Linked DNA regions of Schizosaccharomyces pombe. The gene in region 1 interacts genetically with each later gene. Each region holds a gene or a part of one and is shown in the gene's direction. Other genes may lie near its edges.

Region 1 (8,705 bases):
GGTGGTCCTGTTTCCGAATGGGCTTCAACCTTAGGTGGGGCCTATATAAATAATCTTGCAGACTCACTTCGTAATGTGACTAATCCCGACTTCGATCGTAAAGTATTTTTAGCATTTACTCATGATTCTAATATCATTCCTGTGGAAGCTGCTTTGGGATTCTTTCCTGACATTACTCCGCAAAATCCTTTGCCGACTGATAAAAACATTTATACATACTCCCAGAAAACTTCTTCATTCGTTCCCTTCGCTGGAAATTTAATTACTGAGTTGTTCTTTTGTTCTGACAGCAAATATTATGTACGGCATCTCGTCAACCAGCAAGTTTATCCCCTTATCGATTGTGGGTATGGACCTAGTGGAACTTCTGATGGACTTTGCGAGTTACAGGCTTATTTGAATTCACCGATTCGGGCAAATTCTACCTCTAATGGTATTTCCATTTTCAACACAGAATGTCAAGCGCGTCCTACCAACGTTACCATTTACTTTTGAACTATCAGCGCTATAATGTTTAAATAAACAGAATGGATCCTTTGAATAGGATAAACTATAATTTATTATAATCAATTTATTTAATTTTGGGTAATATTAGACTTAATTAAAAGAGGAATACCAAGTACTTTCCTTCCTACAATCAAAACAAGATGTTTGCTTGTAGGAACTGATAATCTTCCTTTGCCAGATGAAGGCAGTGATTTTTCTTGAGAAGTCTGTATTTGTTTAAGGTTTCAAGCATTACATTATTTGAAAGAGTACTGGTAACTGTAATTATATTAATTTTTACTTTATATACAATGCATATTATAATTAGAAGCATGTTAGGTTCTGACATACTATGAGGCAGCTGTCGACCGCGTAATTGACACTTTCAGAAGTGCTTTTCAAAATGCAGATAGTAGCATAACGAAGAAAACATTTACTACATCAATGTTGAATGAGAGTATCAGTGTAAAACAAATTCAGCAAGTGATAGCGAGAAAATAGTAACTATGATACATATGATAAATTTTATAAAATATAAAGATAAATAATCCCTCATATGAAAACTACTGCTGAAATGGATCGATATGAGAAAATGTTTTGAAATTATGATCATCAACAATGCCACGCCAAACCGAATGTGCTATCTTCAAAATACATAATAATTTCAAAAAAGTGTAAAAGGTTAGAATTAACAACAATTAGTAAACAAAAATTTTATAGGAAAATGAGATTTCAGAAACAAAGTTCCACTAATGCATTAAGTAAGGGTCTCACACAAGTGGCCTTAGTGGGATAAAAAGTCTTTAACGGAAGAAATCGGGCCTTTTCAAATTAATTCCATATTCATTAAGAGCGGCACTTAAGTCATCTACAGTGAGCACGGTTTTTCCACGGTCACCTCTTCTTCCGCTAGATCCAATCCCGGAAGCGCCTCCGGCTCCAAAATTCTGCGCACCAAACGTAGTTGAAGATGCATTGCTACTACCGGTTCGGATTTTAGAATATTGATAGGCGTCTTGAGCAACATCAGAAATAAATTTTTGAGCTGTAAGACCAAGAAGCTTTTTTAAGCGTGGGTCAACACATTTAAATCCAGATAAACTGAGGTAATAATCCAATAACACATCTGGAATTAAGGGAGAGTAATCATCCATTTGGGCCAAGAAATTTTCAAGTGTTTTGTCTTTGGCCATATCTCGCAATTCTAAATGCGGTTCTATAACATAATTCGAGCCATGCCTTTCTCTAGAATCATCGCTTTTGGGAGAATCCTCGTTATTTAAATGTGCAGGGGATTCTACACTCATTGGGGCGAGATTGTCACCAGTTGGCAGATTTGTGGAAGACGTTTCGGGTTGTTCATCAACACTCATCGAATTATTTCCATCTTCTGGTTCTTGCTTGGGCTGTTCAATATTTTCAGCTGGCTCATTATTGTTAATGTCACTCATTCTTTCTTTATTTGACCGATGTTGTAAAGCAAAGAATGTCTTTCTGCAACTTGATTCAAATCCGTGGTTCCTTGATTTATCGTTCGACTTATTGGAAATAATAGGAAATTTATTTCCCTAGCTTATGGACTTAACTTTTAATACTTTAATCCAGTGTTTCAAGAAACCACTAGGCCAACTAAAATAGGGATGGTGGAGGTGGACTATATTCTGTATTCGTGGTAAAGTAGCATTGTTATTTACGTATATAAGGGCTAAGATCGAAAAGTAAATAATTCCAATTCTTGGAATAATGCTAGTTGAATAATAGAAATTAATATATAAGATTAATTAACTTCTGGTAAAAAGTGTTGTTTAAAATCGGTATTATATAGAGTTCGGAGCGAAGTTGGTATCTACTACAATTTTTGCTTCTATAAGCAAATGTTCAGTTTAGAGTTGAATGGCAGCCTTCTTGGACTTGAACATATGTATTCAAAAGTAATTATTATTCTCAAACTACAATGTTATTCATTTGCTGAGATGAGCATTTTAAAGTTTGCGCAAACATGACTTCCAGTTAATATGTGTTTAAAACAAATAAAAAAATTTACTACGCAAAGAAAGGATATTTGAGATTAATTTGGTGCACATTTTTTATTTCTCATAACAAACTACATAATCCATTTCCCCATACTTTACCAATAATGTATTGCTAAGCCAGATCAAAGCTACATTAGATATCACTACTAATTATTGTTATTTTCATTTCAAAACTGTCGGATCCATACTACTGATCTTTAATGATCAGGACGAGTAAAACATCTTTAGGAAAATACAATTATTGAAGAAATATCTCAACCGAACAAACTACCCTTTCCTAGTTCAGTTGTAAGTTAATACAGTAAAATATAAAATTATATAGTATATTATATCTTAGCCTTCTTAAACAAATATGTAACCGCTGTACTAAACGAACTCCATAAAATTATACTAAATTACGAGGTAGCATATCACAATAATTATATCCTTATACTAGTTTACAAAGTATACTCAAACAACATTAAATCCTATAACGTATTCCTAGTAAATTGCTTCTTATGTTTAAGGAGGATATCTTATTGTTTAATTGATCGCTAAGCGATCCTTTTTTTATTTATTTATTATAGTTCTCTCTGATCATTAATTCTCCAGCTATGCTTACCTTTTTGAAGTATCACTTCTTCGTTTTTTTATTTCTTATAATTACCATTTATTATTATTTAGTTTCTCACACCTGTTTAAAGCGCTTGTCGAATCACCAAACACAAATAAGCTGTTTTATTTCACGATTGTTTTTCTCGCCCTGCACTTTATGCTTTGTTTGTTTCATAGTTTTTCCTTCATTAAAAAACTTCTTCACTGAAGTATACTGCTCATAGTGAAAATATAATAACAATTGCTTTCCACATGTATATCACATGTATTGTGTACTATGTACGCAATATGTCTCAAGATGTTCATTACTTAGCCACCACCAATTTGTGGTTTTCAAGCTTGAGCTAGTATAAGTTAAAAGAATCACACTTTTTACTTTCTAATTTTTTGAAATTTCCTTTAAAAAATTTCATTAATTGTGTTCCACAATTCCTGCTTTAGAGATATCACCACTCAACGTCTGTTTATTGATTGAAAGCTTACCTTTCAATTACCATTAAATTTGATTCATTATTTAGAAAGATTGGTATCAAAGCAGGTTTGTTTTTTGGTAATCTTGAAACCTCCTGTTTCCTAGTTCTTTGTGTTTCTTCGTGCCTTAAAGTTTGTTTAGGTTCTTATGCATCTGTGTAATAACCAGTTGCTTGATCATCTGGATTGCAATGCAGTTTACAGAGGCTATGTTTCACAAGAGAATAAGGTAAAGAGGAGAAAGCGGCTGTTTAATGCAATTCGTAAACTATGGAATGAAAGAAGGCGATATCGAATGCCAAAGGACGAAAGTATCTCGCCAACTCCAATCTCTTATTCATTTAGATCATTAAGAAGAGGCCATACTAGTGGGCATGCTAGTGAACACACTTCTTCTTCAAGATCTAGTCATGATGAATCAGATTCTATGTCCAGTTCTAGTGAATCAGACTCGGATTCTGTTTCCAGTGAATCAAATCCCAAATCTTATTCAGATTCTAGTACTAGTTCTGCAAGGTCGTCCTCTACTTCTGGTTCAATCTCCTTGTATGATGATTATTACCCTGCTTATTCCAGCAATGCTCCAAATACTGCAATATCTAATTATGTTAGCTCTGGTCTTTCATATTACGGAAATTCATCTATTATTATGAATGCTGTCGAATACAATCAGTTCTTTCCGCTAACCATAACTACTCTTATTGTTAAAAACAACAAGAATGTTGTTTCAAATCTTCCAAAAAATGTCTCATTTTACTTCCACTCTGACAACACGGTCCTTTTGAATGAGTATTACAAAAGCTTGTCTAAACTGAAGAATAATTTTCGTGGAATTATATATAAAACTACTCCTTATGGTAGCTGCAATGACACCGAGTCACTTCAAGTTGATACCAAGGGAAGCGTATGGTTTAGAGATGTTTCTAATATGGGAAGTTCTGGCTTAATCGCATTCGCGCCGTTTGACTATTGTGCTCCAATGCATGTATTGCAGGCTGTCCAGGATAGAGCAAAGGCAATACTATTTTATAATGCAAGCACTGCTAGTAATTCATTAACCAATTTTGACCACTTTGAAGATGCTGTAGATATGATTACCTTTGAAACATTACCAATGGCACTCATATCTTACGAAAACGGCATCGCTTTTGAAAAGATTCTCAACGAATACTCGGCTTCTTCTTTAAATTCGGTGCAGGATGGTGGAGCATTAGTCGAATATTTTGGAAACATTGATGCTACGGCCCGTTTGGGCGTTATCATCAGCAAGGAACCAAAGCTACTTGGCCTCTATATATTCATTGGTGTGTTATTGGGTTTAATCGGTGTCATAGGCCTTTTTATTTGCCTTCACTTTTCTGGTGCAATGAATGGATTTTATAGACTCTTAAATCGTCATGGAATTCCTGTTCAAGAAAGAATTGTGAATATTGGACCAAACAAACCAGAAAATCGTGTTACTAAAGAAATGCTCGATACTTTGCCCGTTAGAATGTTTTCGGGGCCTCATCTTGCCAATCCTAATGATGAGTTGGTTTATGAAAAGGATTGGAAATTAGACAAATCAGAAAGTTTTGATGGACAGGGAAATGTGGTTACTACAGCCGAAAGAGGGAGTAAGTATTTCGATCAGAGGGAGTGTACTATTTGCTTGTGTGAGTATTCAGAAGAAAGTCCTCTTTATCGAGAACTGCCATGCCATCACATCTTTCATCCGGCTTGCATTGATCCTTATTTATTAAAAAATTCGGATCTTTGTCCCCTATGTAAACAGTCAGTTACAAACATGTTGGAAAATGCTTCCGAGGACAATGTTTAAACTGCATATTTATGAATTTTCTCCATTGGTTGAGTAATTCCTGTACTTCTACTCATAAGGATAATTTTTTTTATAATCTATATTAGCATATTTTGTTCGACTCTCATTCATTTACGTTATAATATTTTGCTTGTCTTTATACGCATACGCATACTCATACTTATTGTTCAGTTCTTCCTACGACGAAGAAAACTTACGCTTCCTTAAGTTCATAATTTTCTTGCATCTTTTAATGGGCTAATTATCTATTTCTCATCGTTCTAATCTATTATTTGTGTTATCGTATGAATTCTATAGTACTATATAAAAGCTTACTATACATGTCATTGTTTACTATAAAAAGTTTAATACACATGTTGCTTGCTAGTTTATGATGAAGGTACAAAAAAACTATTAAGTATTTTACAAATTAGCCGGTCTAATGCTAAATTGCATATGTAAATATTTTTTTCTTTTCATTTAGAGACCTATTTTGATATTCTAAGAAAACGATATACAGTTATAATAATTGACATTTTTGGATTTGAGAAAATTAAATACTCTGAATTGTGTCTCATAAAATAGAAAAGCCATCAGTTTCTGCAATGAAGCCTTAGATAACTCCATTTTACACATTTATGCTCAACCAACATAATTCTTACATTTTCCAAATGGAAAGAAAATTTGCCTGTCATTAAGCAGATATGTGAAAACCAACTTTCTGATATTTCATTTTTGATACTTTCATTAATCTTTGAGACGTTTCTGAAATTTGGTTCCGTAATTTAACCGTGAAACTATGTTAACAATAACCTCAAGATGGGAATTCAATAAGCGTTTATCAGGTTCAGCAAAAAATTCGTTTAGAGAAGTTTCAATAAAGCGACGTAAAATACTTAAAGATGCCGAAACGTAAACATTTTCAAAATATACTGTAAAGTTGTCAAGCTTTGCTTGTCCAACTGATACTCTATTTTCGACTTTAAGGCCGCACATCATTAGAAGCTGGCGAAGAGTAACCATAGTAGTTTCATTAACATACTCACTAGCTCGAGTGGAAGACATCATGTTCGTGTAAGCAACGAATTTGGACGGCATGTTAGGTAACTCAGACCTATTATTCACCGATACATCTAAAATTCTAACACGCTTGTTGGTACTCAAGGTTGACCACTGTCTTTTTTCGTAATCATACCTTAAAATGTTTGGATACAGAGATGCAGCAATTACGCCACACAGAATTTCTGCATTTCCTGAGTTAATATCATGCTCTTTGGGGATAACGGCAAAACGCCGGCATATTGAACGTTTTAGGCTTTTGCAAGTATCAACATCCGAAGCGCCTAAAAGTTTCATATCCTTCAACTCAGAAAGCAGTTGGATTTTTAGTGATTCTGTCATACTTAAAGCCTCTAAATTTAAGTACTTTTCTTTGGCAAAAGAATCTTCATCAGGGCCTAAAGGTGAAAGGCAAATCTCTCGCCAAGCGCAGTAAGCATAATACATCAAAACTAAATCACTCCTGGTATTCTCCTTAGCGAATGATAATCGGGCTTTGTTTGCAGAAAATTCATTGTCAACAGATTTCCTAAAAGGTGAACCGATTGTTAACATGGCTACTATTGAAGAAGCGGCATCTACACATTTGTAGAAGCATCCCAAAACCAAGATTTTTCCTAAATTTGCATCAACAGGTAATTGCGACAAAAATTTGCCGAGTTTTGTTAATTTTTCGTTTTCAGAGAGCGCTCCCACTTGATGAAGCTTTTCTAAAGCACGAATAATATTGGTAGAGGAAGGTGGATCTAACGCCTTGCCTAAGACATCTTGTACATCACCCATTTGGCACATCTTTACTCGCAAAACAACTTCTTGCAGATTAAGTCTCAGAATTTCAGGTGTCTGGTAAGACAAAAATTGGGTATCATGTTTGAATTTTGAGAACAAATGATAGCAGATACCTTCCTGAACACGACCAGCACGTCCACTACGTTGCTTGGCATTGGCCTTAGATACAAATGTATCAGTTAACCGAGAAAGATGTCTTCTACTATTATAACGCATTTCCCTATGTACTCCTGTATCAATCACACAAGTGACATCTGGAATAGTAACACCAGTTTCAGCGATATTTGTCGACAATACAATCTTGCGGCACCCTTTGGGAGGGATGTTAAAAACGGACTGTTGCTGCGCAGAGGATAGTGTAGAGTGTAGCATGTATATACAGAACTTACGATGATTTCGAAACATAGGCATATCTTCGATAAGAGATTTTACACGAAGGATCTCCGAAATACCAGGTAAGAATACTAATACACACTTACTGAATTTCGGATCTCCTTCAGTGAATATATACTTTAAGAGATAAACGATTAAACCATAGTTAATGGCTTTCTCGTTATACCAAGCTGGAATTAGGTTCATTTCAACAATGGCATCCTCCGCAGATTTGTTTGAGATGCTCGCATCTTGTTGGTCGGTTTCATAGTCATCTTCCTCTATAACATCCTGTCCGGCAGCGTTACCGAACGACTTATCATTTCCAAACTGGGAAAGTATATCTTCTAAATAAAATCTATGCACTGGATATGTTTTACCAGGTATTGTGATTAAATTACTTCCTTCAAAGTATAACTGAAACTTTTCGGCGTTTAAAGTTGCACTCATAATTATAATCTTAAGATGAGGATGTTGTTTAAGTAAATGAAGTACATGAATTAAAAGAAGATCCGAGTCAATGCTGCGCTCATGAACTTCATCAATAATCAGATGAGTCACAGACTCTATTTCGTTTCCAACTTCTAGGAGACGCAGAAATGTACCTGTAGTAACATAAGTTAAAGGTGTTAAAGGCGTACATTTGGAATCCAGACGAACAGAATAACCAACAAGCTCATGCGAACGAGCTGAAGGAGGATTGCCGCCAAGTTCCTGAGAAACACGATTAGCTAACGATATGGCACTGATCCTTCGAGGTTCTGTAACATAAATTTTGACTGCTTTTCCATTTTTTGTAGAATTTTCCAACAGAAAAGCAGGAATTTGCGTACTTTTACCGCAACCTGTGTCTCCTGATATAATTAAGAGTTGACTATTATTGACAGCATCAATAATTGTCTCTCTAAACATCGTAGCTGGCAACTGATTACGGAAAACCTTAAATTTTTCGGCTGATTCACTTTCAAGTTGTTGTCGCCATTTGTTTAGTAAAGTCTCAGGTGGCCTTTCAAATCCAGAAAACTTGCCAATATTATCCATAGGGGCCATGAGTTTAGAAGTGGTAGCGCTTGTTGGGGTCTCCAATTCTTTGCTCTTTATAA
Region 2 (8,465 bases), on another chromosome or scaffold:
TTCTTTACTTCCGTGGTATTTAGCGTTTCGCATATATGATACAATACTTGAAAAACATGGAAAAAATTACAAAGAAGCGTTCAGTGATACAACTAAAACAATCAGCGTTGCTCAATCATTTTTGTCCCAAATTGGATTAGAGAAATTTTTTGACGTTGTTTACACAGCTATACAAGAATTGTACGCTAAATTTCTTATTCTGACTTTTTACTAATAGTTTCAGAGAACGCGCTGATGGTCATGAACTTCATTCAATATCATCTTTTATAGGTGGTATTGTAGCTCAAGAGACTATAAAGGTATGAAAAATTTATACAAATACTATTATGGACTAACTTTACTTTAGTTACTAGCCCAACAATATCTTCCTTTGAATAATACATTCGTCTTTGACGGTGTTCATAGCAGGACAGAAACGTTTAAATTATAATTAGAATCAGTATTTATTATTAAATGAAATTTCAAAAAAATTCATCATATTCCAAAAGTTCCTATCCCAAATCAAACATTCTCATATCATTTGCACCACAGTCTGACGTCCTTCTTCAAATAAGTAGGTACGCGTAAGAACGAATGCTTTCGACCCCAGTTACATCCCAGTTGCGTCTAAAAGAATTTCAAGATGTTTATGAACCAGCTGGTATGTTATAAAAGGTCAAAAAAGCTTGCTAATTACACTTTTAGAGGACACGTTTGCTTTGCTCGATGCGCTTGAAAAGGATGCCAAAAAATTGCGCCAAATGGCTGAAATGAAAAACTTATTAACAGCGGAAATTGGGTAGGTTTTTGGTTAAATCGTGAAGATATTAACCTGCAGCTGCGGATCTGGCTGTGCATCCTCATTTTTAAAAAGTGGGATTTTGAAAAACAAGCCAATTGGTACGGTTGCAAACCACAAAATATAATATGCTGATGTCTAGTTCATTTTATGTCCGACATCTCAAATTCTGCGTGTCGTGCTAGTAAGATAACTGCTCTGAATAATCGTGAGTTGTATAAGGACGATAATGGGTTGTTCATTACCGTACAAACTTCATTCCTTGACGGAATTAGACTCGGGAATGGAGTTGATATTTTAATATTCAACCCTCCATATGTTCCTACCGAGTTCGAAGAAATACCAAGTGAAGCTGCTACTATTGCTTCGGCTTGGGCTGGTGGTACCGATGGTATGGATGTCACTAGCACTTTGTTAAACCAATTAAAGGTAAGGTCAGACCTTTATATTTACATTAATAACTCATTTATGGATAGGATATACTTTCACAAGACGGAGTATTTTACATGGTTGCAGTTGCTCGCAATAAGTTACACTCTATTTGTGAAATATTGCAAAAGGATGGGTTTATTGTTAATGAGACTTTAAAAAGAAAAGCTGGGCGTGAAACACTAAGTATTCTAAGAATTTATCGGATTGGTAATACAATTTGGGATGAATAATTCAAATTTTTGGGGTCAATCAAAAAACAATCCTAGAAAGGAGTCGAAGAATTATACACATTCAATAGGGATGTTCATCATCAAGCATGTATGACAAGTTTTCCATTATCAATGTGAGCCCTTCTATTTACGCAGGCAGGGAGTTCATCTTCGTAATGAGAAATTATAACCATGGCTTGGGAAGGAGAGAGCTTTTCATTTAAGTAATTATGCGCCATATGGACATATTTGGTATCTACTCCCTGGAAAGGCTCGTCCAAAACAACTAAGCGAGGTTGTTTGACAATAGCACGACAAAACAAAATAAATCTCTGCATGCCAACCGAGATACTGCTTAATGGTTTATCTTTAATATCCTTTAGTTCAAATTCCTCTAAGATGCTACTAATTGCTGCCAACCGAGTTTCGGTTAACTTTGGGATGGTAAAGGTGGTGCTCCAGGCGCTAAGAAGAGCTTCAAAGCATGTATGTTGCTTCGGGAAATGATTGTGTATCTCTGGAGACTAAAAAGTCGTTAGTTTTAAAGACTATTTACTTTTATAGACTTACACAATGCCCTATGTTTTCTTGGATATCGAATATAGAAATTCCAGTGCCGGGCCCAATGCTTTTTCCAAAAAATTTAATATTGCTAGCAAATAACTTGGGGTGGTCTCCAACTACATATGCTAAAAGTGTAGTTTTACCGCTTCCATTGCTACCTGTTAAAGCCCATCTTTCTCCTTCTCTAATAGTCCAATTTATGTCAGAGAGTACTTTTCGTCCCCAGTAAACACAGTTGAGATGTTCCATGGAAATTAAAGGCTTGCCTATTGTAATAGGCTTGCTTTTTTTCATCTGGGGCTTGACAGGTATGTTAGTTGAGTGACTGGTCATAGGAATATACTGTTCCTTGGGCCCTTGATATGTGATTTTTTTATTTTTCAATTCCAATACATGTGTGATAAAGTCGGGAATTTTGTCCTGAGGACGTAAGGAAAGTACAATCTTTGGCGAACAATGGTTTGACATTTCACCTAAAAGTGAAGACAAAACAGATCTTGAAGTAACATCAAGTCCAGCTAAAAAAAATACTGTTAGTAATTGTATTAACATAAATTGCACCCCTTAGTGGCCAGCGTACCGTAAGGTTCATCAAGTAAAAGAAGCTGCGGCCTTTGCACAAGTTTCGATGCAAGCATCGCTCTTCTAGATTGTCCATTGCTCAAATTTATTAAACTCGAAGGAAGTAAATGAGATAACTGAGTCATAGATGCGGCCTCTTGTACATGTTGAGAAGCAAACTTCTCATTCCCTCGATAAGCGCCCAAAAGCCACTTCTCCAATGTAGTGTCATGTTCTTTGTCTCTAAAGGAATGATATCTTTCAGAGTAGTATGCGGCACGCTGCTGTCCAGAACTTTTAAAATCAAGCAATTGGATTGCTTGCCATGGGCTATCAGATTTGCCTTTCAAGAATGGATATGAAAAACTAGTGGAGGGTGAGGGTGTAAAGGAACCTTGTATACACTGTATTGAGTTAGCAATTTAGTAAAGTTACTACCATGTAATTAATGATAATAAAAAGTGTTTGGTTTCCGACTAAGGGACAAAAATGAATTGTACAAAGCTGATTTAGTAAATTTGATGAATTGCTAAAGCTTTAGCGCATTTTTACTCCAAACACTTCGCATAAATTACAAAACATACGCGCAAGAATGTAGTCCTACCACTTCCAGTGTTTCCAATAATGGCCCAATTTTGCTTTCGAGCTAGTTCAAAAGACACATTCTTGAAAAGGGGAAATCGCGCATCTAAGAATGTCGTATTGGCAAATTTGACAAAAGACGCCATGCTGCAAGATATGGCCGCCGCTATATGCTCAGCAGCTTATATGGTGATTGTTAAAGTAATTAATGAAATGAGAAAACTCCGTATAAGTCAATTTATAAGTTGCAGTTTGATTCTGTGGTAGTGATCGTACGAAAGATAATAAGGCTTCCAGAACACTGCGTTTTAATTATGGAAGAAGCCATTAACAACGTGCTTCTTCTGTTACGAGAGGACTCGATATCTTTAGAAACGTAAGTCCGGTGGTTTTTAATCCATTTTGTTAACAATCCAAGTGTCCTATGGGAGACACACTATGTCTTACTCAATTTACATAATGAACAGAACCTTCGACTGGTGGTAGCACAATTGATTGCTTGCGGTAGAATATGGGACTATTGGAATGAGCATCGTTCTGAATACTTTGCATTTTGGGTTGAATTGATAAGCAGGAAAAAGGTAACGAATAACGGTTTGCCATTTTCATCCTTCGTGAAAAGCATTGTAGGCATTCTTGAGGTAGATGCAAGCAATGAAATTCTTTGCTTTCGAAGAATTTGTCTCCTTTGCGTTTTTTACAAACTATTGAGTTGCGATCATATCGTCAACTTACAATACCCCTTGAAAAGAGCAGTTAGCAAAGCTTTATCAAAACAGATAAAAACGCATCAATTTTCAGGATTTGAAGCCAATTTTTTACTGCAACAACTTTTTGCATCTGTCGATTCATCAGCGAGCGATATTTCTTTTGATGCATTTTCGTTACTCCCTCATTTATTGGTAAGTAGCAGTAAATATAGAACTCCAAAAAACTTTATACTAATTGTCTCAGAAATGGGAAGAAATTGTTTGGAGCGGTTTCATCAATTATTTGGATACTGAACACAAGCGGGATTCCTTGCCTACAGCTGTTTTGTGCCATCTGTTATTACGCTTATCAACTTATCAGCAAATCAGCATTATTAAAAGGTTAGTGTTTGACTTCACTGTTCTGGAAGACTAAATGATGCAGGTTAATAACTCTAATTGACAAGGCGATTCCCTCTTGGAAAAGTCGTTCCTCTGATTCTAAATATAATGACCATCAGTTTGTTAAAAAAAATTTTTTCTCAATAATTATGGTTTTAGAATCATTGGCAAAATCTCAGTACCGTAAAAGCAATGTATTGGCTGCAGACCGATCTTTATGTGAGTATATTATTTTGACTTTGTTTCATATGGAGTATCTATTCTCTTTTGTTGCATCATCATGGTCTACATTGGATTTTGTAATAACAACATGCTTGAGTCGTGTTGCTCAACCAGCCAAGTTTATCTCGGAAACTGTGCGGGAAGCCATTATAGATTCAATTCAACTCGAGGGATATGTAGACTTACAAAAGCTATCAGGCTCTCCAGTTTTGGTAACTTTGAGTTTTATCAATAATTGGCAAAATCTCATATGTCGACGTTTAGAAAAGCAAACAGTCAACGAGAAAGTTATAACGTTAAGCTCCACTGCTAAAGAAATATCATCATTAGGTCTTAGTTTCGCTGAAAAACTTATATCTCAATCTGACGAATCTACATTATGCAAACATTATGTTTACGCGTCGCTGTATGCGTGTCTTTTTTGTAATCTAAATGAGGGCTCTCCAAAAGACTATCTAGACAATGACATTTATGTTCATGCTAGGTGTCTCTTCTTGCTTACCAAAACGTTGAATCTCGACTCTCTGAAGAGCATCCTTTGCTCGAGAGTAAGGTTATACTATAACATCGAAATAGCTTATTATTTCACAGATGTTTTATTGAAATGGTTTCAGCCAATTATACGATATGAATTTGACAACGCCCTTATTTTTTATAAAGCTTCAATCAGTTTAGTAAGTGTTCTTGCTCCTGCTGCTCAAAAGCAATTCTTATCCAATTATTTGAATTCAATTCAAGGATTTTCAACTGAAACCAAAGAAGACTTAATTTTCCTTGTATCTTCCCAAATTCGTCAAATGCCCTATCAAAACGCTACTTCCTTGCTATCCTTTTGGCTATCTATTGTCGTAGGTCGTGCAGTTTAAAAACTCTATAATTTAGATGAAGGATAATATTTTCCGTTCTTTTCCAAAGCTATTGAGCTATTGGATTGTTTTTGGTTACACTACAATATCAATTATTGTAACATGAAACGTGTATATTAGTCAGTTTCGTTTTTTTTTTATCTTCAAATTCGAATTATTATTTTCAATATACCTATTATAAACATTTGTTTACCTTTCTCCTCTGTACATATTTTTATTTAATTTTTATATTCACTAATAACGGAGTGTAACGAATAATCTGGTTTACGATATATTAGGCAACGTATTATAGGGAATATTAACGATATTATCATTTGGCTGGGTTTTGGTCAGTCAGCAACTACTACTTTACACGTTCTCTTTTAAAAATGTTTATGACTAGATCAGGTAAGTAAACTGTACAAGTTTCTTAAGCTAATCTTTAGAATATGATAGAGGAGTAAATACCTTTTCTCCTGAAGGCCGGTTGTTTCAAGTGGAATATGCAATCGAAGCCATCAAATTAGGATCCACTGCTATTGGTGTGAAAACTAAGGATGCCGTCGTCCTTGGTGTTGAAAAGAGATTAACTAGTCCACTTATGGAATCTCATTCTGTTGAAAAGCTGTTTGAAATTGATTCACACATTGGTTGCGCAATTTCAGGCCTAACAGCTGATGCCCGTACAATTATTGAACATGCTAGAGTTCAAACACAAAATCATCGTTTTACCTATGATGAACCACAAGGTATAGAAAGTACTACCCAGTCAATTTGTGATCTCGCACTTCGCTTTGGTGAAGGAGAAGATGGCGAAGAACGCATCATGTCAAGACCGTTTGGTGTTGCTTTGTTAATTGCTGGAATAGATGAGCATGGTCCTCAACTGTAAGTCAAAATTATTTTATTTTTATGGAACGATGTGGCTATTGTGTTAATGCTTTTGTTTTTTGATTATCTTCGTACACCTGCCATTGTTTGGATTCCTTTTGTTGTAATTCGTTAAGATGCTAACTTCCTATACAGATACCACTCTGAGCCTTCAGGTACATATTTCCGTTATGAAGCTAAAGCTATTGGTTCAGGTAGTGAACCCGCGAAAAGCGAACTAGTGAAGGAATTTCACAAAGTACGTATTAACTTTATTTGCTTTATCTTTTTCCTTTTTTGTTAAACTAACAATGTCGTTCAGGATATGACTCTCGAGGAAGCTGAAGTATTGATTCTCAAAGTACTTCGACAAGTAATGGAAGAAAAGCTTGATTCCAAAAATGTTCAACTTGCCAAAGTTACCGCTGAGGGTGGATTTCACATCTATAATGACGAGGAAATGGCCGATGCTGTAGCACGTGAACAGCAAAGAATGGATTAACCTATGATGATTTAAATTCCGCCAATATTACCAAATAAAGCATGATTAGTCGAATGTTACATAACTCTACAGACTTGTTTCGCCATCACCTTTATCCTTTTCCTAGTATCTATGATTAGAAATGTATTCCTTTCATCTTTTAACCGTTTTTGTGTTTGTTCGGTTGATTGTTTATTGTATTTTAATTGTGATTAACCATATATGTAATATCAGTATATGTAACGTATCTTTTCTTTAAATGAACCTTTTGCTAATAAACAGCTTTTATTTGTACTAGTCTCCAGGTTTAAGTCAAATTTTATCGATTTATCGGTTCATATGGTTTGTATCGTGGGAAGTCATAAAATATCCAATTTCCAATAAAAAAAAATATATACAGTAAATAAAATCAAAATTCTGATCGTTTAAAAGATTTACAGGCAAAATTTTTTATTACAGTAATTTTACCATTTGTATAGGATTTCTGACTAACTAGCGTTTTTTACGTGTTGCTTCATTATATATCTTTGCCTTTGAATTTGAAGGTCCGGATCCCACTTTACTTCTATAAAGACTTTTCGAAAAACCATTTTTATTAAAATTGGATCAATCTAATGATAAGAGCGGCAAATGGCTTTAGAATTAGTGTTAGAAATACAGCAGTCTGTTTAGCTCCTAATTTTCGCCAATTGAAAGGATTTTCGATTATTAATTTAGGTTCTTTACAATATTTTCGTTATAACTCGGTCTATTCAAAGTCAATACGCCTTGTAAACACCTTAGAGAATCGCATTGTTCCAGTGTATAAAGGTAGTGTGAACAAAAATTCATCCAGGCAAAGCTGACTCTTATGTAATAGAATGTGCATCCCCACAATCAATCGGTGGGAAATCTAATTTGAAACAGCTACAATGGCCGAAGCCGCCCAAAAACATCTTGATTTTAAAGAAAAGAATGGACGAACGTGTTGATCACTGCTTCGAGACCTTGGTACAGCATCTACAACAAACTTATCCAGATATTTGCATTATTACAGAAACAGACGTCGCAAAAAAATTTTCTTATCTAAATCTGTACACGTGGACAGAAATCTCGGATTTGGAGCAGAAGGTGGATGCAATTATAACTGTAGGGGGTGATGGAACTATTTTGCATGCTGCATCTTTATTCGCAAGATCAGGAATGCCTCCTATACTCTCATTTTCTTTGGGAACGTTAGGATTTTTACTACCATTTGACTTTGGATCGTTTCAAACTGCATTCGCCGATTTTTACAACTCACGATCGTTCGTGCTTATGCGGATGAGACTACGTGTAGCAATGAAAACCAAATTGTATAACGAATCAATTTACGCTATGAATGAAATGCATATCCATCGAGGTTTAAGTCCTCACATGGCAGTGCTAAAAGTGTTTGTAAATGACAAGTTTTTGACAGAGGCCGTTGCAGATGGCCTTATCATTTCTACACCTACTGGCTCTACAGCATATTCACTTTCCTCCGGCGGGCCTATCGTCCATCCTTCAATCAATGCTCTTTTGCTCACACCCATTTGCCCCAACTCGCTTTCATTCCGACCGGTTTTGTTTCCCGATACTTTTAAAATCAGTATTGAAACATCAAACAAATCAAGAGTACGACCGCAACTTTCGATAGATGGACGACCTCTTGGTCTTACAGACATAGGACAGCGAATCGACATCACTAGTGTAAAAGACAATGCAATTCCTTGCATCATTCGATCGCACAAAGAAGACGACTGGGTGAGTGATATTGTTAGTTTGTTACGCTGGAATCATCCTTTCCATAGAAAAGGTTGGTAAGAAGGG
Region 3 (7,413 bases), on another chromosome or scaffold:
ATTATTCGCAGGAGTGAGATTGGGAAATGATTAAAACAATTGGATTGATTGACCTTGAAGGAATACAGAAAAATCGAGAATGCGCCTAAATTTTTTCATTTACAGATACTTGTCAGCTTAGCCTTTTGTCAATGATCTCCAATATCGGTATTTCGCAGTTGTGTTTACCAACTGACGATTCATCATAAGAATTCAAATAATGAGTTTACAGACATGAAGCTGATCAACATATTTCTGTATGACTATGAAACACACTAGCACAATTCAAATAGAGGGATTATTGCAAAGTGGATTGATGCGAAAATACTCCAAAGTTGTTTCAAGCCGTTTTTTGGTATACAAACGGAAAATTAGCAATTTCAATGATTTTTGTACTTAAAAATGTTATACATTCGACATGAATATGAGTAACAAGAGAGCAGTAAAATAAGTTGCTTGTGTTACTAAACATTGATATCTTAAAAAATTTGCGAAAATAATGACTTTGTTTTAGGAACGACCACTATCAAATGGGATATCTATTCAAATATTAAAATAGTTGTTTTTAAACAGGTAGCTATTTTAGTTTGCGAATAAAAATCCGTTGCAATTGGACAAACGAATTTCAAAGGTTGTAATTCTTTGTAGGTTATATGAATCGTATGTAAATAAACCAGAGTAACCATGTATGTTAAATGCTTTAACTGGAGGATCACAGTGATTTTTACTTTTTCATAGACATATTCAAAGTATGTGAGCAAGAGGTTTCCTAAGCAAGAATTTCTCTTATAAGTATTATTATTTTTAAAGTAAAGAGTCCATTTTTTAATATGCATTACTTGTTTTTAACATATTAGAAAATATCTGGGTTGAATTGTGCTAGACTTGTTTTACAGACGTACCACCTTATGAAAAGGAATAACAAAAAATGTCATTAAAGCAAATAACTATATCCACTCTTCGTCAATGGAAACTAGCAAATAAAAAATTCGCTTGTATTACAGCATATGATGCCAGTTTTTCACGACTTTTCGCAGAACAGGGGATGCCTGTAATGCTCGTCGGTGACTCCCTTGGAATGACTGCTCAAGGTCATAGTACTACATTACCAGTGTCAGTAGAAGACATAGCATATCATACAAAAAGTGTTCGAAGAGGTGCCCCTAATCGCCTCTTGATGGCTGACCTTCCATTTATGAGTTACAGTACATGGGAGGATGCTTGTAAAAATGCGGCTACTGTAATGCGTGCAGGTGCAAATATAGTTAAAATAGAAGGAGGAGGGAATTGGATTTTTGAAATTGTACAAAGACTTACAGAACGATCAGTCCCTGTTGCTGGACACCTTGGCCTGACTCCTCAGTCTGTAAACATTTTTGGAGGTTATAAAATACAGGGTAGGGAACAGTCTGCAGCAGCACGCTTAATTGAAAATGCACAACAGTTGGAAAAGTTTGGTGCGCAGCTGCTCGTCTTAGAATGTATTCCAGAGTCACTAGCTGAACAAATCACTAAAACTATATCCATACCCACTATCGGGATAGGAGCCGGAAAGCATACTGATGGCCAAATACTTGTCATGCATGATGCTTTAGGAATTACTGGAGGCCGCCCACCCAAATTTGCTAAGAATTTTTTGTCCGGGGCTGGGGACATTCGCACGGCTATCCAACGTTACATCTACGAAGTAGAACAAGGTCTATACCCTGCTGAAGAACACAGTTTCCAATAAATAAAATACAAAATTTCTGGATATTTTGAGCATGCAGGTTCTTAAAGAGAAGCTCCTGATTCATCAGCAAGTAGATAATTGGCGAAAAGATGGAAATCGAATTGCTTTTGTTCCCACCATGGGAAATCTCCATGAAGGGCATTTTTCTCTAGTTCGTGAAGCCAAAAGACATGCCGAAAAGGTTGTTGTCAGTATTTTCGTAAATCCAATGCAATTCAATAATCCACAAGACCTACTCTTGTATCCTCGAACCATGGACCAAGATTGCTCTCAGCTGCAAAACCTGGGAGTCGATCTGGTTTATGCTCCAACTGTTGAGGAGTTATATCCGGAAGGGTCTCAAGACATTACTTTTGTCGACGTCCCTAAGCTGTCCACCATGCTTGAAGGTGCGAGTCGACCAGGCCATTTTCGTGGCGTTACTACAGTGGTTAGCAAGCTTTTTCACATCGTAAATCCGGACGTAGCCTGCTTTGGTGAAAAGGATTTTCAACAAGTAGCCATCATTAAAAAAATGGTCCGCGATTTGAATTTCTTTATTGAAATAATTCAAGTGCCAATTGTGCGCGCAGATGATGGACTTGCACTTAGTTCTCGAAATGGCTACTTAACTTCCGAAGAGAGAAAAATCGCTCCCAATTTATATAAAATTTTGAAAAAATTAGCCCAAGAGTTGAGTAATGGCAATGGCGACTTAGAGAAGTTGATTGCAGAAACTAATACTGAGCTATCACGTTGTAGATTCATTCCCGATCAACTGGAAATCTGTGACTCTACGACTTTAGAACCTTTTACTGCTGGCACAAAAAATGTCGTAATTTTGGCAGCTGCTTGGCTTGGCAAAGCTCGTCTTATTGACAATATCCAAACAACCATCAACTGAGTCATGGATTGTTTTCAAATCACGATCAAGTGATCTTGTCATGTTTCCATTAGCCACAGACCTATAGTGTCTAACAACTCTGATTTTTATGTAACAGAGACGCTGTGAAAGTTTTATGTTTTAACTTTCTTTTACTGTCCTTTTTAGTTTGTTTGAAGGAATACACTTATTCCAATACCATCGTTTTATTGAATGAAATTATCCATAGTTTTCACTCGAAATAGTTTAATGTTAGAATTTGTTTTCTTGTTTGCCCATTCGAATACTAAAGTTTATGTCGCCAATCCTTCACTATGCTGTCGTTTCCTATACAATCGGGCGATTAACAGATATTTAGGAGAATGGGGTTTAAAAAGTCAATAGATTTTTAAATACTTCATCCAATGGTGTTTGCTCTTAAAGGAGAATGATGTATTGGTAAATAACACAAAAACGAACATTTGTGAGATGAATTTTGACCTTATGAAACAATCAAATCCAAGTTTGACCATTTCCATCATTTGCTACTTTCTTTGATTTTAATTACTACTTGGGTTATGGGGGTTCGATTACCAAAAAAAAAGGTACATTTGATCATGTTGATTACCTGCAATCATGTTTCCTTTTTGACAAAAAAAAAATTTAAAAATTGATTACCTCTATATATTTGCCAAAACCTTCGTAGGCTATTATTTCTTCAATGAATGACTTTCTAAATTTACAGTCAAGGTTTTCGATGCACCCATTATAACTGGTGCTTTCCATTGAACTAACCTTCCAGATTGGCCCTTTTGTCAAAACTATTAAAAAACTAATATTCCGTATTTTTCCTTTCTCTCTTTTTTCCTTCTTTTCAAGTGGGGCTGGAAAATCCGGCCCACAATACAATTTGTATGAAGTTAAGACTGTCATGCTGTTTTACTTTCGATATGATCGAGCTTGTTAATTTACAAGTTCTTAATAAAACGTTGTGTTTCTTTTACTTGACGATAAACTTATTTAGGATTGCTTAGACATACTTCCCCTTTGTTCGATCATCATGAAAAAAGGCCCATGTAATTATTCCCAAGTGTTTTCATATATAAAAAAGTTTTAATTTTTTTTTAAAGGGCATTGAGTCAAAGAGAAATTTTTAATTTTTAGTGAAATAGTATAAAATCCCTTTAAAGATGTCGCTTTCAAACCAATTCAGAAACTTTTGTATTCATCCCAACACTTCAACTAAGCTCTGATGCTCCTCTTACAAACAATAACATAAATTTTTACAGCGCCGCAAATGCCAAACAATGTGTGCTAAAAATTCCGGAGGCACGTTGCCAGCAGTCATTCTCATTCCGATTTTACGATAAGCAAAAAAATTGTCCAGAAGAACCGGAAGATGAACCAGCGATAATGCGATTGCTTTGACCGTATATTCCCCTTGGAGACAGAGCCGCAGTGATCCACATAAACATGGTAAATCCGTGGATCTTCTAGAAGATCTTGAGGTTTTACTGCCAATCAGCATCGACGACGATCACGTCAAATAACGAAAAAAACCCTTTTTGAGAATTGTTCCAACGTTAAGGTAACGCACTTTTTGGCATTTGGATGGCATGCATGCCAAAATCACAAAGTTTGCAGTAATTCGGGTTGCTTTGTTTTGGAAAAGTTCTCCCAGGAATCTAAAAATGTTACATATGTCTTACGACGAACTTACTGCCTATCAACTTGAGGGTAAAAGAAACGGAATGTGACCATTCATATTGCTTGGAATTGTTACTCAGACAATTGTATATAATGGCGCTCTTCATACTCAAGACGCTTCAGAATATTCCAATTCCTTTTGGGTAGAGAAATATTTGATCTTCTACTTTTTGGTAAGTAAAATTTATGATAATGGCGGAAAGAATGACAGTTTGGAGGTGATTTGATGTCGTTTGGAAAAGAGTTTTGGTGACAAGCAATTTTGTTTTGAAAATCATTTGAAGATCTTTTAATTCCTTAGCATTTATTTGACGTTGGAGTTGGCTGCAGATCTATTTAGCGAAATTGTTGTAAAAAGATCGATGTTCGATAAGTGTTCGTTAAGCGAGATAAGGAGTGGAAGTATCGAAATTTTAGACACTAATTGATTACACATTGATATTGGAGAAATTTTCGTACACTACTTAAGGCTCATTCCCCCTTGACTTTTTTGACCGATTGTTACATATTTCTTTTCCGTTTGGCTAATTATTTATTTTTTTTCATACTTTGTATATTATTGATTCTAAAAAATATCGGAGGTTAAGCTTTAGATGCGATTTTCTTTTTAACATGTCCATTCTTCGTTCTCCATTTCGTTTAATTCGATCGCCTGCTCGATTCTTTCCGTCACTCTTTCATTCCTCTTGTAATCAATCTTTTACTAATGGCTTAAAGCATCAATCAACCTCTTCGAAAGCCATGCCTGTTAGCGCATTCTACATACCTTCTTTCAACCTTTTCGGTAAAGGTTGTCTTGCTGAAGCCGCCAAGCAAATTAAGATGAGCGGCTTCAAAAACACCTTAATTGTTACCGATCCTGGTATTATTAAGGTCGGTTTGTATGACAAAGTTAAGGCTCTGTTGGAAGAACAAAGCATCACTGTTCACCTTTACGATGGTGTTCAACCTAATCCCACCGTTGGAAATGTCAACCAAGGTCTCGAAATCGTTAAGAAGGAAAACTGTGATTCTATGGTATCAATTGGTGGTGGTTCTGCTCACGATTGTGCCAAAGGTATTGCTTTGTTAGCTACTAATGGCGGTAAAATTGCGGATTATGAAGGTGTTGATAAATCCTCCAAACCTCAACTTCCCTTGATTGCAATCAATACGACTGCAGGAACTGCTTCTGAAATGACTCGTTTCGCAATTATCACCGAAGAGACCCGTCATATTAAAATGGCTATTATCGATAAGCATACTATGCCTATCCTTTCCGTTAACGATCCTGAAACAATGTATGGATTACCTCCTTCCTTGACCGCTGCTACTGGTATGGACGCTTTGACTCATGCTGTTGAAGCTTACGTCTCTACTGCTGCTAATCCCATCACCGATGCTTGTGCTGTCAAATGCATCGAACTCGTTAATAAGTATTTGAAGCGTGCTGTCGACAACGGCAAGGACGAAGAGGCTAGAGACAATATGGCTTATGCCGAATTCCTTGGTGGTATGGCATTTAACAACGCATCTTTGGGTTATGTTCATGCTATGGCTCATCAACTTGGTGGTTTCTACGGTATTCCACATGGCGTCTGTAACGCTGTTCTTCTTGCCCATGTACAGAAATTTAATTCTAGGGATCCAAGAGCAAATGCTCGCCTTGGTGATATTGCTTTTCACTTGGGTTGTGAAGAGCATACTGCCGAAGCAGCTCTTGACCGCATCAGTCAACTTGTTCTTGAAGTTAAAATTCGTCCTCATCTAGTTGATCTAGGTGTCAAGGAAAAAGATTTTGATGTCTTGGTTGACCACGCTATGAAGGATGCTTGTGGTGCTACTAACCCTATTCAGCCTACACATGACGAGGTAAAGGCTATTTTCAAATCGGCTATGTAAATAGAACGTTATCTCGATACCTAGAACAAATTATGAGCTTTTACATTTCACTGGCTTGAATGTTCACTTCAACATATCCTAAAGCATTTTTTTTGGCTTGAACCTTTTTTAGATTTGGAAAATATGTAAACAACGGTTTAATATATCAAATTTTGGATTTTTTTTATTAATTATATAAGTGAGCCTTTTCTAGTAGACACGCACGTCGTTTAATGAGTCTTGTTTGTATAAAAGTAATCATGTCTATCTTTTTGCTTCCAACGTAGTTCCAAACAACTCGAGGCCTTTTGTGAAACCTGCCATGGTGTCCCCTTCAAAACTCGATGCTATAAAATTCAAGTGATTAAAGAACTTATTCTTTTTGGACAATTAGCTTATACTGAAGCTTAATAGATTTGTTCGCGGTAATTCTCTTATTGGAGGAAATCTTGCACTAATGATCTACCAAATTCTGAATAGAGAACCAATTATTAGGTTCTGATGATCTTTTGCTAATACCTTACAAAGATAACATAATGAAACTAATGGATCAGAGGAAGAATTAGATCTTATTCCCAATTGCACTTGCAAATCCCAATAGAAGGGGAGACATGGATACCTAGTTAGAAACTAAACGCTTCTACATATTTCATAGTAAAAAACTTTTGGTCAGTAACTAACTTTGAAATACAATAGCTACTATAAGTGTTAATGTAAAATATATTTTGACTTCTATTAAAAGACCGCTGTTTAAAAATCACATGCAAAACCTCATTTCAATTTTACTCTTAGAAATTTGCCGATATTTTTCATTTAAAAGATTTAATGACACGATGGAAATGCACATTGTTTTAAGCTGCAACACAGAAACCGGCCCACGGTATAGTGAAAATGCATGAATATTATTAGTTTTTACAAATGACTAAATCCATTAGATGATTTGACGATTACCTACATTTCTAAACGTACAATCAGCGTAAAAGGTTATAACACAAGATTTTGCTTAGTAATAACTTGATTCATGAACACCAAGCAATAGAAAATATTAATATACCTCGTTATTCTTACTGTGTAAATTGATTCCTAACATCAAAGAAATTACTCAACAACCTTCTTTTTCGAGAACAATATACATTTATTTGTCATTTTTGGTAAATTTTAGACGACCCTGATGAAGATACTGCTAATTAACGGCGCTCAAGAATTCGCTCATTCCCAAGGGAAATTTAATAAAACCCTCCACAATGTAGCAAAAGACACATTAATTCAGCTAGGCCATACTGTTCAGGAAACT
Region 4 (8,589 bases), on another chromosome or scaffold:
CCCTATTACTCACATAATGAATGAACAGCTCGCAGAGAAGCATTCAGCGTGGCTTACAGCGTCCTTAAAATGATTAGGAGGCTTTGTCGAGAGCATTAAACACAGATATCAAAATTTAAACCTGGCTGCGCTATTTCGTATGTTTTTAATTCAAATAAGCCTGAAAGGTGCATTCTCAAGCTTTTTTTTAAGTATTTCGTAAAGTAATTAAGTGAAATCTTACCAGAGTATTCAATTCATAATTTATAGATAATTGATTCAAGTTGGCACTGCTTTGTGTCTTGTTGCGTAAACCATTGACAGGCGAACTTCCATTAAAATGGAAGTTTTGTGCCATCAAGGTTATAAAACATTCCATTATCCTCTGTTTTTAAATTATCCACAATTTTAAGCATAGATGAAGCACTTTGCTCTGGTGAGATGGCATTGCTCTTGATGGATTCTACCATCTCAGGATATTTGCTGGCTAATTTTTGCATAGCATTAACAAACATGTCAGTGTTAACTACTCCAGGGTGAATAGAAACTACAACGAATCCATCTTTCTCTAACTCAAAACTAATTTCTTTCATCGTATAATTTAAGGCTGCTTTAGATTGCCCGTAAGCCGAGTATGTGTTTGGACGAACTCCTCCCATGCACGCAGCCATTGATGAAGTAAAAACAATATTCTTTAGCTTTCCCTCCTTTAACAAGTGATAAAAAGCTTGGTAAACATGAATAGGACCTAACACATTGGTTTGATAATGAGACATCCAAAGCTCGTCTGATGTTTTCAAAACAGGTTGGAAGGATTTCGATATCCCCGAATTCACCCAAAGAACATCAATACATTTTACTACCTTTTCAACCTGCATGGCAGCGTCTTTGGCACTTCGTAGAGAAGTGACATCTAACTTGATGATATGTACATTGGAATGGGTCTTGCTCCAATCTTTCAGTTCAGAGGCAGATCCAGGTCCACGAGCACTTGCAAAAACAGTTACTCCTTCCTTATTGCTTAACTCTTTGACTAGAGAAAGTCCAATGCCACGGTTTCCACCCACAATAACGTAAACTATCCCACCAGCAGCCGACATGTTTTAGCATAAAATGACTCAAAAAGATTCAAGGTGATGATTTTTTTCAACAATAATTCTTTATATCAAGGTCAGTCGTCTTGCCTAGCCTACTTGGTTGGAGGTGTAAAACAGTTGCGCTCACGCATAATGTATCAAGTCAGAAAGATCTGCAAATGCATCGTCGCACAGTTCTTAAACTATAGTCACTAAACAATAATACGTTATTATTTAATCAATCAATATGCTTTATGAATGACATTATGCTCTTTTGCCCAAATTAAGCCCTAAAGTCGTAGCTGGTATCTCTAGTCTGAGTTTGGGACAGCAGTTTTAAAGTAAAAGGCTGCTGAATTCTATCAGGTATCATTCCTCCATTTGCTACTAGATAAAGCTACTATAACTAAAGAATTGGCAATACATTTCGATAATAAACATACAAACAATGTAGCGGATTCACATTTTTATTGCTACAAATTTACCAACTGGTGCTAACTTGCGTTGTCTAACTATATATCGATAGTGAAGGTTTTTTTTCTATTTCATATAAGCAACTTAATGACAGGCTACGTTATATTTCAATTTGCAACTGACTTTATAAAGGAACCTGACAGAATGTACAGCTACTGTAACGTTTTGAAAGGTGCTTCGTAAAGTAAATATAGCGTTTTGCTTTATATATCGCTCCTTTCTTTCTACACTGTTAATCTACTTTAGTAGGTAGGAAAGGATATCAAGGGTGTAAGAAAATTTCATGGTTTTTCTGTTGTATGTTCATTTATTTTATATTTATGGAGTGTTTTGTACGCACTAGCTCTTTTAGTGTTTTATTTTTACTGCGAGAAATGTAATTTTCATTCTTCCTCTTTTATTTATATATGTGTTTTTTTTTGGTAGATTTTGTAAACATCATATAGCTTGTTAATGATCAGACTTTATTTTTTTAATATTTTCTTTTGTTAAGCAATTTCGTTTAAAAATAAACATATCCGACTTTGATGCTTCAAAAATTTAATGTAATAAAATAATATTCCTGTTTTTGAATCTGGGTTAAAATCATATCGGATACCTTATAAAATTCACTGATCATTTAAAAAAAAAAAAAAAAAAAAAAAAAACCCCCCGAAAACATACAATTTTGTTAATTTTCAAATGCATTCTTTTGAGGTCAAGCCATATTTACTTTTATCCCAAATATTAAATTTAAGTGTCATATGCAAAGTTGCAAATTCGCCGACCGTAGGGCTATCAAAACTGATGATGTTTAAAAATTGACTAATGGAACAAATTTATCTTGAGATGAAATGATGTTGTTCAAAATTAATATAATTTTTTTTTGCTGTTTCCTCTTGCTTTATACGCATTTTCCTGCACCTCTCTTTCAGAATACACATTATTCTTATTTGGTATTAAGATTCACCAATTGATAAAATAACACCTAATTGTATGCCACGGCTATCTTGCTATTATTGTAATTTCGCTTTATATTCGATTTTGACGAATGAACCCTGTCAAGTTGGAAAATGCAAAAGCAGTATTCTACCGTTACCTCTCAGTAGTAAAATGACCTTCCATCGATGAAATTCTCTAACATTCTCTTCGTATTTAAAAATGTATGGATCGTATATTCCTTGCTTATCCACGATTCATGAACAATTAAGATTTGCTGAATGGGTAACACATATTCTGCGTTACCTCGTATAGTTCATTGTTAATCAATGTTTAAACACTAAATTTCCCATCTCCCACTGTTAATTGAAAATAGGTTTTATTCAATAAATTACCATTTAAAAAGACATGTTATTTTAAGTTATATATTTTATGAACCTAAAGATTGAAGTAAAGGCCTTCGGAGCCTTTAGTTCCCCTACTATGTGCCTCTACTCGCTTCTTGGGGCTTAACTGTAATGTAGTATTGCCAATTACACAAAAAATTTATATTGTTCTTTAGCTTCTTATAATTCATTTAAATGAGAGGTAAAAAATTCGAGAAGACATTTCAGAAAACTACAGAAGTATCCATTTGTTTGAAATTAACTGTCCTAATGCAGATGAATCCTATGTAATAGAAATATTACAACCGTGGCTATAAAAGAAGTTGAGAGTTAGTTATACGTAAGAATATCTTTTAAAGATTTCAATCGACATCTCACATGATTCATCAGTATTAAACGTAAAAGTTTACATATTAGTTGTAGCACTATTCGTGATAAATGAAATAGTAAACCAAAAAACGAACGAGGAATAATCTTTTCATCACTAGAATATTAAAATTATTTTATATAATCAAAGTTAGAAAGATTCCTTTAGTTCCTTGAAATATTCTTTAATTATTATTGCAGCACTAAGGATTGCATCACTGATATGTCTCAGTAATGATTATCAGAACGTCTGGTAATAAAGCACGATCCTCTCTCTTTTTTTGTTCTGACTCTCGTCAGGATGAATTCCTTCTCAAAGTGCCGGGAGGAATTGCTTTGTATTTTTTGTACCGTACTTACATTTTATCGTATACTTTCACCTTAGCGCTTTTGGTGTCAAAACAATAGAGATGTAAATTTTAATAGAAATTAAAGCTTATTGGAATTTTTGTTTTCAAGTGTTTTAACATGTAGTGATTGTGTAAAGTATATGTTTACGTTCTAGTAATCGACTACCGTTGAAACTTGCAAACTACCAAACAGTATTGCAGACAGTGAATCAGTCGACGGAGCACTTGAATCAATTTGTTAATAATATAGAGATTAAATTCACAATTTATTGACACATGATTAACTGAATTCATTAAAATATTTGTTTTTTTGGTATATATTTCCTTTCAATACCCTCGCTATTTGTTTCTTAATAACTGAAGACAACATTGATCTACTTAATATATATGACTCAAAACTCACAGAGTAATGGTGAAATCGTGTCAAAAAAAACCGGATATTGATGAGTTCTTTTCATTTTTGCAGAGTGCATTCCATCCTCTACAGACCGAGGAACTTGATACATTCGTTCGCAACATTTTTGAATATGACGATCGAGGTCGTTTGTACAACTGCCTTTTAACTCTAGGTAAGAATGAATATTAGATATAATCAAGTTTATTTTTATCGCTTTTTCTAAAATTGTGAATTTTCAATTGATCGTCGTATGCTTGATAGCAATTTTGATGATCTTTTATCAAACATTTTGCACGCCTATAACTCTAAGGTTATATCAATTCAATTTTCTCAAAGAAACATATAAAATTTTACTCTATTCATGACTTGGCATGAGTGGTTGGATGAGACTGTGGCGTTGGTCGTTAATTATATTTTTTGTTGTTTCTGTTCGAAATTGAATGGTTGATTTCAACATTTAGCCCTTGGGTTTTTATTTCCCTAGGAAAAATGTTTGGGAGATTTAACCGTACAGTTTTCTGTAAAGCAAATGATTGTATAAAAAAATTATGATGACTGAAAATTCAAATCTACTACAATGTCACTTGAAAAATCGATTTCTTTTTTGATGTTTTATTTCTTTTTTATTAAAATTTCTAACCGTTAATGCAGTTCCTTATGAAAGACTTCCAATAGATGCAGAGGATCTTAGTAGTCGAAAAACCTATGCGCGTCCCGTACTAATCCGACAATACCGCAGTTTGCGGTTTGCCAACAAAGAAGAAAACATTTGTCGGCTAACTCCCAACTCAGCGTTCGTCCCTGTTCGAGACTCTGCAGTCGCTAGCATTTCAACCTCAAAAGTGCAGGACTTTAACTCCTATGCTACTCTCACTGAAGCACAGAAAAAAACGGCCACTCCCGTTGAGGAAAAAAACTTCTTAAATCAAATTGTCATACAATGTTTAGACTCTTTGGAAACCGACGTTGAAACAAATACCACGCATGCTACTTTACTAGCCGTTGACCCTACTTGGTTAATCCGTGTATCACAGCATACCTGTGATCGGAAAGCTGTGGCTAATCTCTGTATTCAGTATGGAAGTCAAATATTTTATGATCCATCATTTCGAAATGCTTATGAATTATGGTCCAATCCTTCAGTTCTTTTGGCTTTTTTGAAGGCCCAAAGAGTGTTGGTCGTTTCAGATATATTTACTTCGTCAACATTGAGATCAACACAAGGGACGCCAATGTCTTTTCCTAATTTAGCTTTGGAAAGCGCTGATAATGTCGAGAACGTATCAAAGCCTATTAACCCTCGAATGGAAAGGTTTTCATCAGAGGTTAAATCTTCGAGTATTCTGAAACAACAGATTGCAGCCGTTGTTGAGAAAATCAATTATGACATACGCCCTCAACGTGATCAAATCCCTGAAGAAAATATCGTACCTAGAATCTCTTACTTAACAAGTACCACTACTTCGACCAAATCATCACCGGTTCCCGAAAGCACTACAACAAACACAACTGAAGTGCTGAAAGAACTTAATGACATTCAAGAGAACAAAAGCAGAAAAAATGTTGAAAAAGCGACTGCGGCAACAGAAGAAATGCTACGTGGCCATCACAAACCGGTAGAAGGAACAACGGCTACTTCGGAAAAAGAAAGCATTAAAGAAGAAGTTGATTTAGAAGTTAACGGTGACGGGAAAGTTGAAGCGGAAGAGAGAATAGAATTGGAATCTTCCGATTCAGAGAAAGAGCTTTCAGAGCTGATTGATTTTCTTAAAAGAGAACACCCACCGGAAGATACTCCAGAAAAACGAGTAAAGATTAAAAGAATTAGAACATTACTCGACACATGGCAGCAGGAGTGGAGAATTTTAAATAAAGCCATTTCAAATGCAGAGTCAAATTCTGGGCGAGGACAGAACTCCAAAACGAAAACTACTTCTGTAAACTTATCGCGAAACAAACGAACGAGGACTTAAGAATGTTTAAAAGCATTTTTTTTGTGGAACATAATTATTAATCTTAGAATTACGAGCTTTTTATTTGGAACACTACTGAGTCTAATTATTTAAAGAAAATTATCAAACAACAATATTTGTATATAACGTTTACTCATTTCCCAACAAAATTAATTTATAAATAATAATCAAAAATGAACCGAATTCCCTGTATACTTAACCATAATAGTAATAAAATTCCAAAACCAATGCTACAATTCGATAAATGCAGTATGATCAAGTGTAGCCATTTACCTCCTTTTGAAAAGGAACAAAACAGTTACACAAAAAGAAATACCAAACGACTCAATGCTTTCCCTCCTTTAACTCCTTGGCACCAGCTTCACCTAATGCCTTAGTAATTGTCAACTTGCCCACTTGTTGAGACGCAATTCCGGCAATTAGTTTCTCATTGCGAACATTTAATGTTTTTGTAATGTTCTTTAAAGATATTAGCAAAAAGAACATATATAAAAGTAAATTTTAAAACATACCGCATTAATTGTATGGTCTTTGATAGCAGCTGCTCTTCTAGGGGCACAATAACGAGCTAAAAGTCAAGGTTAGTAATGAGTATTAATGATGAATGATAAACCATATAATATGATATCTTGTATGCTTAAGAGTAAAATGATTGAAACGTGTATCAAAAAATTTAATGAAAAATTTTACTATAATGAGTATCTAAAGTTACGAAAAGATGAAGAGTTTATAGCACCACAAAGGTTGTCCAACAACTTCAATGAGCTTAAAATATTAAAAGAAACATCCCTAAACCAAATTCCCTAGCATACAAAGATCACCGAATATTTGACAGTTGCAGCTGACATACCGCCTTTTTTAGGATTCTTGGAGTGTTTTGTAACACGTCCGCCCTTGTTGGCACTACTATTTTTCTTCTTTTTAAATTCTCCTTGTGCCATTGAGTTACGATAAATGGTAATGGTTATAGTTTGGTGTAGTAAATGAATTTTCATAGATACTTTGAAGGTAACATTAGAAGGAGGTAACAAACATCGCCATGAATACAGCAATAAGTAATACATACAAGTGGCATTACAGACTAAATAATTCGTTTTATAAGCAAATGTATAATGAGGGAATTGTTATACTGTTAATGTTACCGTCTATAAAAAAAGTGTACCTTTAGAAAGATCGGAATGCCATAAAATGTGAAAGTTAAAGTGCAGTGTTTCCCACAGTGCAGAATGATTTAAGAAATTAAGACTTTAAAATTCATTAAAAAACACGTACGTTTGCTAAATGATTGCTTCAAACATAACGAATCTTTTTTTTTAAAGAACAGGCGAGATCATAAAAGAAAACATTAACCTGCACAAGTAAAAGACAGATTAAAGATTCAGATTGAAAGGGAAAACGCCAGCAACCGACAGGAAATAAAATTTTTTAAAAAAAATTTAGTCGTCGGTGATGGCCAGCTTCAAATAGAGACCAATTATAATACTTTTTGCTGCTCAAGCAGAATCTTGAAATTACGACCGTCGTCCAGTCGCACGGAAAACTTATTGCGAACAATAAGTAACGTTATGCGGATAAACTATACAACACGCTTTACTTCGAAAAGTCGCTTTAAGTAGAAAATTTGGAATACACATACGGAAACTAGAATAACGGTTTGAAGAATACTCCACCACTTGACGCGGTCATTTGTGCTTTCAGCAGTATTGCGATGTATTCTTTCACGAGCCACAAAATACTCCTGCTCATGTTTTACCTTGGAGATGGTATCATGGAGTTGGCGGACCTTGCCGAGTAAAGGATTGTTAGCATCCAAATCTTCATCAGAGATATATATAACACCATGCACATTGAATAAAACCTCCTTTGATTCACCATCGAGTGCATCCTATTGATGTTGTTAGTTAAGATTGTACATCTAGCTGTTTCCGGCTCAACCATCAAACAATTAGACGACATGGGAAATGACGACCATAATGCCAGGCTTTGATGCCAGAAAACAAAAAGATAACACATACATTATAGAAACAATACATGTATTTCCCTGGGTTCTTAACGGTGAAAGAATATTGGGCCATAGAGTTGGGAACCTCTTGATGCATAATTTGACCCGCAGGATTGTAGATACTCATAGAAACAAGCTGATCACCACCAACGTTTGTTTGATAAGTGACAGACATTTGATCATTATTCCTCAAATTTTCATAGAAACATTCTAAGTTTGCTTCATTAGCATTGTATACTCCATGAATCTCAACACAAATACACTGAAATTACATACCTCGTTGATGCGGTTTCAATGTAATGCCATGACCGAAAACAACAGATATAAAATAAGCACATAACACGGCTTTAAATACGTTAAAAAACGCCATTTTGCAAAGTAAAGCTCTTTGCTCTTTGAAGCAGCAAGAATGAGGTCTATGGTAGAGGAAACGTACAAAGCACTAGTTGGAGGGCAACCGTGCATAAACAAAGCACAACTGTGAAATTAGGCGACGCTACGTTAAATTTGCTTAAGAAAAAATACGATGTCTTTATAAAAAAAACGTAATACGGTATCTTTCCTTATTTCTGTGGAAATTATTAAATCATTCTTGTCTTCAGAGTATAACTAGTAATTCTCCAAAACTTCGTTTATTTTGTATTTAACTTATTATTGAACATCAATTC

Evidence for each region.
Region 2: mutations in SPOM_SPBC15C4.06C (region 1) and pex8 together harm fitness more than expected from each alone (negative genetic interaction), as found in Schizosaccharomyces pombe (one large-scale study listed by BioGRID).
Region 3: mutations in SPOM_SPBC15C4.06C (region 1) and adh4 together harm fitness less than expected from each alone (positive genetic interaction), as found in Schizosaccharomyces pombe (one large-scale study listed by BioGRID).
Region 4: mutations in SPOM_SPBC15C4.06C (region 1) and nts1 together harm fitness less than expected from each alone (positive genetic interaction), as found in Schizosaccharomyces pombe (one large-scale study listed by BioGRID).

The regions. Positions count from the first base shown.
Region 1 is NC_003423.3:2,248,434-2,257,138, reverse strand, and holds SPOM_SPBC15C4.06C (ubiquitin-protein ligase E3), read left to right. Parts: upstream 1-3,428; 5' UTR 3,429-3,732; coding exon 3,733-5,403; 3' UTR 5,404-5,728; downstream 5,729-8,705. Other genes in the region: SPOM_SPBC21H7.03C (multiple inositol polyphosphate phosphatase), read left to right, coding at 1-495; SAGA complex/transcription factor TFIID complex subunit Taf10, read right to left, coding at 1,290-1,937; dhx29 (ATP-dependent RNA/DNA helicase), read right to left, coding at 6,130-8,705.
Region 2 is NC_003424.3:3,907,580-3,916,044, reverse strand, and holds pex8 (protein Pex8), read left to right. Parts: upstream 1-3,421; 5' UTR 3,422-3,440; coding exon 3,441-3,502; intron 3,503-3,544; coding exon 3,545-4,028; intron 4,029-4,080; coding exon 4,081-4,217; intron 4,218-4,260; coding exon 4,261-5,305; 3' UTR 5,306-5,510; downstream 5,511-8,465. Other genes in the region: NEDD8-activating enzyme uba5, read left to right, coding at 1-180, 224-299, 347-430; eRF1 methyltransferase Mtq2, read left to right, coding at 574-640, 685-778, 818-879, 921-1,207, 1,255-1,440; SPOM_SPAC323.04 (ATPase), read right to left, coding at 1,521-1,943, 1,990-2,501, 2,564-2,948, 3,129-3,272; proteasome core particle subunit alpha 5 Pup2, read left to right, coding at 5,674-5,692, 5,731-6,172, 6,311-6,413, 6,477-6,656; NADH kinase Pos5, read left to right, coding at 7,250-7,445, 7,495-8,459.
Region 3 is NC_003424.3:155,275-162,687, reverse strand, and holds adh4 (alcohol dehydrogenase Adh4), read left to right. Parts: upstream 1-4,755; 5' UTR 4,756-5,000; coding exon 5,001-6,140; 3' UTR 6,141-6,258; downstream 6,259-7,413. Other genes in the region: ecm31 (3-methyl-2-oxobutanoatehydroxymethyltransferase), read left to right, coding at 908-1,711; pan6 (pantoate-beta-alanine ligase), read left to right, coding at 1,743-2,594; SPOM_SPAC5H10.07 (uncharacterized protein), read right to left, coding at 3,216-3,485; SPOM_SPAC5H10.05C (FAD binding oxidoreductase), read left to right, coding at 7,291-7,413. UniProt on the Schizosaccharomyces pombe protein: Involved in ethanol oxidation in mitochondria.
Region 4 is NC_003421.2:930,293-938,881, reverse strand, and holds nts1 (protein Nts1), read left to right. Parts: upstream 1-3,726; 5' UTR 3,727-3,958; coding exon 3,959-4,118; exon of another isoform or gene 4,119-4,187; intron 4,188-4,597; coding exon 4,598-5,919; 3' UTR 5,920-6,145; downstream 6,146-8,589. Other genes in the region: SPOM_SPCC24B10.20 (dehydrogenase), read right to left, coding at 315-1,079; SPOM_SPCC24B10.18 (uncharacterized protein), read right to left, coding at 6,244-6,378, 6,432-6,487, 6,770-6,860; COPII-coated vesicle-associated protein Emp24, read right to left, coding at 7,496-7,804, 7,935-8,131, 8,198-8,291.